Daphnia pulex: one gene and its partner. The protein of the gene in region 1 interacts with the protein of each later gene in a pairwise test. Links are inferred from orthologs where the notes say so. Each region holds a gene or a part of one and is shown on either strand. Other genes may lie near its edges.

Region 1 (4,218 bases):
CAAATGAAAAAAAGAAAGAAGAATTATTAAACAATTACCTTCTAAACAAAAAGTTTCTATATCATCAGAAGCACAAATAAATATTCCTCCATTTTTCATCAGTTTAAGAAAAGGTGAAGTAATAATAAATTTTAAATTTAGAAGTGTTATTGCTTTTCCTTCAACTTCTAGTGGCAATGGACAAAATAACTTTCCAGTACAGCTTAAATTTGGTAATCTTTTACTAGATCCCCCTAAAATAAAAATATTTTTTAAAGAAATAAAAAAAATAGTATTAACTGAAACATGTAAGTAGGCCTATAACATCAATTCCTACCAGCATGACTAATCCAAATTTTCATCTCAAATAGATCATTGGCAAAAAGTTTTTTTAAATGTTTCAGAATATGAAAGGTAGATCCACCTGACCCCAAAGCATATCCAGGACAATCAGCAATGACTAAATATTTAGTAGCCCTTGGTATTTCTCCATTTTCCAGTTTCTCATCAATTTGCTGTTTGAAACATTCTTTTTGTTCTTCATCTCCGGCAGATATGACTACACAATCCCAAAAACCATCGTCTAAACAGATAAAAGGTAAAATGTCAAACAATCTCACTGACTTGTGATAATTTGTGTGATGGATGAAGTTTTTACTTGTTAAAAACTAACCTAAAGATGTTTTGTTAAAGTTTTCCGCTAACTGAACCATGTACTTCTGGATTCGTTCCATTTTTGTGACTGTTGTAGCATTTTCCAGGACGACGTAGGCTTAGTAACTTTGCCACGTAAACACTTTAAACAGTCCAAATTTCATATTTCAGGTAAAAACACAGATGTTTATTGACGTATTCAAAACATGGGAATTCAGAGACCCCTGGAGGGTGTTAGAGAAAGATAACACGGGTAATTTATCGGACTTCGGATATGATTCTGAGCCTAAACCTTTGGGAAACGAAGTTATTTACTGATACAGATTTCTGGAATTAAATATGTTTTAATTTTTGACGAAAAAAGCGAAAAGTAGTAATCATTTTCATATCACAGGTAATGTGTCGTCTGTCTCGTGTCCCGTGTGGTTAGTTTGAATTGCAAAACAACGAACTCTTATAGACATACCATGGACATACTGCAATTAGCGAACTCTTTCATTTTCATAGAGGCATTCGCACTTAATTATTTATGGTCCAAAATTTAATTACAGTCGTCGCAAGCCCGCAGCTGCGTGAGACAATGAATTGGGTGAGGCAAAGATTAGATTTCCTGCAATCCTTGCAAAATTCTAATTAATAAAAACTTTGAATAACTTTAAAGCTATTTAATATGCATGATTTGTATCTAGCAAGTTCGCAAGTCTTCGAATTTATTTTAGAGCGGTTGCATTTGCATGCAACTTGCAATCAATTTGGAATCCTTTTTTTTTCGCCAATTTTATATCTGGCATCACCGTTGCTTTAGTTTGAGCGCGAAAAGAGATCTTTTGTTGTTTCATTTACCGTCTGCTACTCTGCTTTATGTTAAGTGTTAACCGCGCAGTAAACTTGGTAGAAAAAAAATTTTGTTGAATAAATTCCGAGGGAAATAGTTACTTTTAAAAATGGAATTTCAACGCAACACAGTTCGGCGAACTATAAAAAATTCTATGAAGCTAAGAAGTGAATATCCTCATTCTCTGCAACTATATTCCGTACCTCCCAGTGAAACCATCGGTTTGCAAGAACTTGAAGATTGGGCTGTCGAACGTCTCAAAGGTATAATAATTGGTCATAACTTCTTATTAATTACCTCCGTAATTACTTCAAATTTTTATCAACAGTTCTTAGGACAATAGAGCGTGTCAATCTGAGTAAAAATGCCAGATTCTCTGATGATTGGAAGACTGCCCTGAAAAATGATTTACAAAAGCAGAACTTGAACAGTTGGTATCAACTGAGCTCAAGTATCAAAGATGATAAGATGGATGAAATCATTTCAAAAACACGACAGAAAGATCATGTTTCTCACTTCTTGATGAGACTTGCATATTGCAGGACTGAAGAGTACAGGCGTTGGTTCATTGCTCAGGAAACTGATCTCTTCCGCTTTAGATTTTCGATGGAAAGTTCAGAAGATATCAGGGCATTTATGAAAGAAAACAAAATGAATTTTCTACCCGTATGTAGAGATATTGCAAATATTCACCAAATTATTACTTATTTAATTATATTTCACCAAACATTTTACAGATTCCAGAGGAAGAAAAAAAGAAGATATTGACTAAACTTATACATGCTGCCCAATTTAATGCCAATAAAGTTGATGCAGTGGAATATTACAAGGTTCCCTTTACAGAGGCTTTAGATTTAGTTCGCCATCGCAAAGTATACTTGCAAGCCGGATTTGCATACATTCCAAGCGAGGACCTCGTTTCCATAATCACAGCTATGTTCCGCTCTCATTTATCACTTGCTATGGCGGTAAAAGAAAATAATTTTTTAATATTCACTGAATAACTTATTTAAAGATATTTTTTTTATTGGATTGAAGCTTACTATGCGTTCACTACCAGAGCTAGAGGACGATCATCGAATCCGTCGCTTACTGAATGACTTTGATAAACGATATACCGGTCAAGATTTTAACTCTCTACAAAATAAATCTTCTGGTGCCGCTGTAACACCAGAAATGATTGATGGGGTAAGACCAACAAATTTCCGTGCTTGCTTTATAAAAACAAAAATAGTAAATCATTAAAATGTATGATTTGCAGTTGTCAAAACAATCTTTCCCACTCTGTATGAGACATTTACACGAGACATTGCGTTCTACTCATCATTTAAAACACGGCGGACGTATGCAGTATGGACTTTTTGTCAAAGGAATCGGACTTAGCTTGGAAAATTCATTGAAGTTTTGGAGGGAGGAGTTCTCCAAAAATATGGATATGGATAAGGTTGGTAAACCTCCACCGAGGATCAAAGTTTCATCAAAACTTCTCCTTACATTTCCCTATTTCCTTTAGTTTGAAAAGCAATACGCATACAATATTCGCCACAATTACGGCAAGGAAGGAAAAAGAATCAATTACGCACCTCAAAGCTGCATCAAAATCATTACTGCCAGCGTAGGTCCGGGTGAGAATCACGGTTGTCCGTTCAGACACTTTGATGCTGCCGTCCTTCGACAGAAAATGACAATGAATCGTGTTCCTCAGCCAGGTAGTAATTAATTTCATATGCATGTCTTTGATCACGTAATTTAATTTGTTTTGGTGCCCTTCTAGCGATTCAAGAAATAGTCGATCTAGTGACACGCCATCATTACCAGATTGCCTGCCAGCGGTACTTTGAAGCCACGCACAACACCGAGATTGATAGTGGTATCCAGCACCCAAACCAGTATTTTATCGAAAGCCAAAAGATCCTCAACGGTGAAGTGAAGGAGAAAATCAAGGGAGCGAATAAGGTACAGACCATTCGTGCTACTCTTCCAGCTAAAGTAGAGAAACTTGAAACAAATGAAAATGAGGTTCTCAGCGAATCCGTTTTAGCAGCAATTGATATGGATGATGATTTCAACTAAATAGTTTAAATCAACTTTTACTTGAAAGCCGTACAAAGGGTTTTATCGATAAATTGTATCTAGCTAGAAGTATTGCGCACTGCATTCGGTTGATCAATAAGATTCCCCAACTGAATAAGCTTGCCTTTTAGAAGTTTGTAACAAAATCGTAGAGATCGTATGTTAAGGCGCGTTTGAACTTAACTTGAATATCTTTCCCACGGCATCAGATGTATATCATTTCTTATCTAAAATGTATCCCTGAAACTTTGCGTAATTGAATTTTGTAAACTCAAAGTTTCATCCGAAAAGAAAGTTTTGGTGCATTATTTGAAAGGGAAACTTGCGTCCGCTCAAAGTACTTTTTGAGGTTGGTGTGCTTTTTCCTAATCGTCAAAAATAACTTTTGGAACAATAGAATAATAGAGAGAGACATACTTCGTGATTGGCACTTGTGTATTTTACTTTTCGGTATGCATGCTGTACAAAATTTCACAGTCACTAAACGCTGAAGTTTACAATTCAGTGACTTTGATGTTTTTAGTACACGGAAGCTGCGGGATAAAAACTTTTAAGAAAGTCTAATTAACGAATCCCTGTTTTGAAATAATCTCGCCACATTGGGGAGAAATTGAACGATCTAGAAAAGTAATAGTACTATGGTTTTTGTGTATATGCAAAAAAAAAAACATTCTAAA
Region 2 (4,113 bases), on another chromosome or scaffold:
AACCAACATGGTTAGGTAATTTTGAAAAATCTACAATATTAAACGGTTCTGTCCACGTTTTGCGATAACACAGCTCTAATGCATCACCAATGTGAAAAGTCAATGTAGCTTCTGTAATCCATTTTTGATAGCTCATAACTTGATTGCACAAAGCCTTCTTACAGGATTCTAGAAAGTTCCCCTGAGCGGGCAACTGTTTGAGATTTAAATACATTTCAAACGGTGAAACGGAAGAAATCAGTGTCCAGTGGCCGGTTGCTGGTTCCAAGAGCGTTGGATTGATGCAGATCATTATTTCTTTGTCCTGAGAGCAGTTGCCCGTTTCAAAATAGATACGCATTTCTTCGGCATTTCTGCTTGCTTTTTGATCAATATGAGCTTTTGTCTGCGCAATCATCCACTTCCATACTTCAGCTAATGTTGGCTTGTAAACACTGTCATCTGATTTTGAGGTTTTGCTTGACCCAAGTTCATGAATGTTATTTATAATGGATTCATACCTGGAATGCATAAAATTTTATTATTAAGTCTGTTTCACAATAGTTTGTTTCTTATTATTTTTACCTTTGTTTGTGAATTTGTTGCATGGTAGCTAAGTTTACTTCAGACACTGATGAAACCCAGAATTTCCATATGTTCTTTAGAACAGACAAATCACTTTCAACAGGAACCTTTAAATTATCTGAGAAACAATCAATGCTCAATTCTGTGATGTCCTTCAAAAACCTCTCTTTAGTTACTGATGACCACTCCATATTATACCATATATCCCACAAATATTGTAAATCTTCATTGCTGTCAGGATTAAATTTTGTATCAGTAATTATTTTTGCAAACAAGATATTTCGTGCCATGGCCATTGCAGACATATCTGTTACAGTGATGTTAGCAATTCTTTGATTGGAACTGAGAGAAGTAGACTTAACAGCAAAGGGTAAATCTCCACATGATAATATTAGCACCTAGGAAATGATTTTCAAAATGATTTTTCATTTTCAAGGGAAAAGACAAAAAAGCAAATAATAGCTGCCAAACCAATTACATACCTTGATAGGGATATCATTCGAACCATGATATTCCTCAAGAAAATTTTCAGAGGGGTAGTTTGAAAACGAATAGCAAAGAGAATTCGGCAAATGATATTTTCGCGAAGGAGATAACATTTTTTAAATTTAAGTTACAGGATTTCTAAATTGATTAGCCGTAGCATCTATCAATTAGATCTTCTATCAGATCAAAGTTGTACTAGTGTTACACATTCAACATTGAAAGAAAATTCGAAAAAGAATTCGTCTGCTACAAGTTTTCAACAACCTTGGGCCCATAAGGTTCAACAACTCGTTACGGCAAAAGGGTTGCGTTGCTGCGTTTCCTCTTCCTCATATGTGGATTGTTATCTTATATTTGACAGTTGCCTCGAGCATAGAGGTATATTAACCGATTCTTGTATGGAAAAGTGATCTTCCGCAAAAGATTGTACAGTGATATAACTAATAGTTCGTTATGGGCAGTTGTACATTTTTTATTCCTAATTCGTGTATTTTCTCTGATCTGTAGGTTAGTACCACCCTAGATCTGTTTAGAGAACTTATTGTGAAGAAAATATTAACCAAATGCCACAAAAAAGGACACAAAATGAATCGCGATAGCCCCAGCAAACCAAGATCTGCAATACCAGGTAAATGTTGATTAAATGCATATTAAAAGTATGGGAGAAGTTGTGTCTGTTGTTATTATTTAACATTTTCCTTGCTAGCTTATTTGACTGGAGAGACTGAAGATCCATATCCAAGCCTTTCTGATATACATGATTATGAACCAAATTTAGAATTTGACGATACTGAACTCCAACAACCAGTTGATGATGAAGGTGTGTAACTTTGTATAATATTGATTTTACTAAAGGTCAAATAAATTAATATGCGTTTTTGAAATTTTAGGGGAAATTATTGGAATTGGAATAGAATCCGATGAATTTCTAGAGACTCCTGTGTCTGATGGCACCATTGAGGAGAACTTTGAAGAAGCATTTGGCTTACCATCTTTAATTCCAGAATATCCATCTCTAATTCCAGAGCAAAGAGATTCATTAAAGGAACTTGATGTGGATGATTTCATTGATGTTGCTCAACATAGAATTGTTGATGTAGTGGGTGATGACACATATGGCCGCAAGGTTATTGGTATGTTAAATTATTATTTCATCATTCTAATCATTGTTTTTTATTTATTTTTCATTATTTTTTGTTAATATTGGGTTTTTTTGTGTGTTTTCTCTACAGTTGTCTCTGCTTGCAGGTTGCCAAGTAACAAAGTGCTGGATCATAACAGATTGCTGAGGTAATAAAATATTGCACATGTATGCTCAACAGTAAATAATACATGTATTCATTTTACAGTTACTTGATGCACACTTTGGATAACTATGTTGAGACTGATTACACTGTTGTGTACTTTCATCATGGTCTCAACAGTCAGAACAAACCGTCTTTTCGGTGGCTTTTACAAGCGTATCGCGCTTTCGATCGAAAGTACAAGAAAAATCTGAAAGCCTTGTACCTTGTACACCCTACAAATTTCATTAGAGTAATTTGGCAATTATTCAAGCCATTTATCAGGTAGATCTGTTTTCTGTGTTATGCGACATTTCAGCATATAGTAACATTTTTTTTAAGCATTAAATTCGGGCGGAAGATGATGTACGTTAATTACCTCAGTGAATTGGGTAACCATATCCATCTTAATCAAGTTAACATACCGCCACCCGTGCTAACGTAAGAAAATGTAAATCATATGTTTAATCGTTTTTTAATTAGTTCTTTAATGGCAGACATGACGCTCAGCTGATGTCAAAAATTGCTAACAAGTCAGGACAAGGTTCTCAGGTGGATTCTTCTTCATCTGTCCAACCTTTACCTACCCAACAGTTTGGTGTGACACTGCAATTTATCAAGGAACGCAACAATGGCCAGGTCATTCCGCCGGTAGTCTCTCGCTGTGTGGAGTTCCTCAGCCAACCAGATGGTTATTTCCCCAGTTATTTAAATCAAAGGAATCAATTACTGTAATGGAAATCTTAATTGACAGCTTTGGAAACGGAAGGATTATTCCGTCGCTCAGCTAGTGTTTCGTTAGTACGTGACGTTCAGTCCCGGATTAATCGGGGTGAATCGATTGATTTTCAGCGTGACTTTCCTGGCGATTATCATCTAGCTGCTGTAACACTGAAAACATTTTTGCGTGAACTGAAGGAGCCCCTAATGACGTTTGACCTCTTTGACGACATTATAAATTTTCAACGTAAGTTTGTTCATCATTGGAATTATTGTCTACTGAAACTTTAAAGCTGTTTTATAGGTTTGAACAAGGAGGAACGTGCTCAAATGGTAAAAACACTTATCTTGGAAAGGTTACCAGAGGATAATTACATCTTATTGAAATACCTTGCACAATTTCTCGCCAAAGTAGGGTCTAATTATTATCATTATTTTTTAATTCCTCGATACAAACTATATTTTAATTCTAGGTTCAAGATAGAAGCGACTTGAACAAAATGACATCGTTCAATCTCGCTGTGGTATTTGGGCCCAATTTAGTCTGGTCTCAGAACCAGCAAATGTCTTTATCGGCTATCGGACCCATTAACGCCTTGACGGAGCATATTTTGTCTCACTATTTAGAAATTTTCATCTTGTAGTTGAGACTTTCCAATGGCTTTCTCTCCACCTAGTCTTCTCGGACTGCTGATTCCCCCGTTATTGGAGCCTTTTCGTTATCAGATTAGACTCGCGCTTACCCCCTTTTTAGTTAACGGTTGTGTCAAATGAGTGTTCTGCAGGTCAAGGTGTATACAAATACCTCTCAAATTGATTTATATTCTTTATAGGTAACCAATTCATTTAGTGAATTGTAAAAAAATACGAACATTGTCCTACAAAAGTTTTGACTTTGTTTACCGAATTTGTTAATTTTAAGTGAAACCATAATACCAAAAGAAACCAAACATTGCAAAAAAAAAACTGGCTGGGGCTATATTAATTTATTTGTCACTTATGAACAAAAAAAGAAAGTGCAAAAAAGAGCGTAAGAAAATACATAGTATGATATACAATT

What was found.
Region 2: the proteins of DNA primase large subunit-like (region 1) and rho GTPase-activating protein 1-like interact in a two-hybrid assay, tested with the Drosophila melanogaster proteins (2 studies listed by BioGRID). The link is inferred for Daphnia pulex from reciprocal best matches to the Drosophila melanogaster genes Prim2 and RhoGAP68F.

The regions. Positions count from the first base shown.
Region 1 is NC_060018.1:6,170,266-6,174,483, reverse strand, and holds DNA primase large subunit-like, read left to right. Parts: upstream 1-1,418; 5' UTR 1,419-1,577; coding exon 1,578-1,731; intron 1,732-1,796; coding exon 1,797-2,134; intron 2,135-2,205; coding exon 2,206-2,436; intron 2,437-2,506; coding exon 2,507-2,656; intron 2,657-2,729; coding exon 2,730-2,912; intron 2,913-2,981; coding exon 2,982-3,177; intron 3,178-3,242; coding exon 3,243-3,541; 3' UTR 3,542-3,953; downstream 3,954-4,218. Other genes in the region: fucose-1-phosphate guanylyltransferase-like, read right to left, coding at 39-233, 317-562, 653-713. UniProt on the Drosophila melanogaster protein: Regulatory subunit of the DNA primase complex and component of the DNA polymerase alpha complex (also known as the alpha DNA polymerase-primase complex) which play an essential role in the initiation of DNA synthesis.
Region 2 is NC_060017.1:1,508,076-1,512,188, forward strand, and holds rho GTPase-activating protein 1-like, read left to right. Parts: upstream 1-1,313; 5' UTR 1,314-1,383; coding exon 1,384-1,428; coding exon of another isoform or gene 1,429-1,430; exon of another isoform or gene 1,431-1,478; intron 1,479-1,557; coding exon 1,558-1,678; intron 1,679-1,756; coding exon 1,757-1,870; intron 1,871-1,940; coding exon 1,941-2,183; intron 2,184-2,282; coding exon 2,283-2,340; intron 2,341-2,399; coding exon 2,400-2,618; intron 2,619-2,675; coding exon 2,676-2,774; intron 2,775-2,830; coding exon 2,831-3,024; intron 3,025-3,087; coding exon 3,088-3,300; intron 3,301-3,357; coding exon 3,358-3,464; intron 3,465-3,526; coding exon 3,527-3,697; 3' UTR 3,698-3,870; downstream 3,871-4,113. Other genes in the region: uncharacterized protein LOC124194419, read right to left, coding at 1-500, 565-962, 1,047-1,163. UniProt on the Drosophila melanogaster protein: Functions as a GTPase-activating protein (GAP) for RhoA/Rho1 during gastrulation by converting it to an inactive GDP-bound state.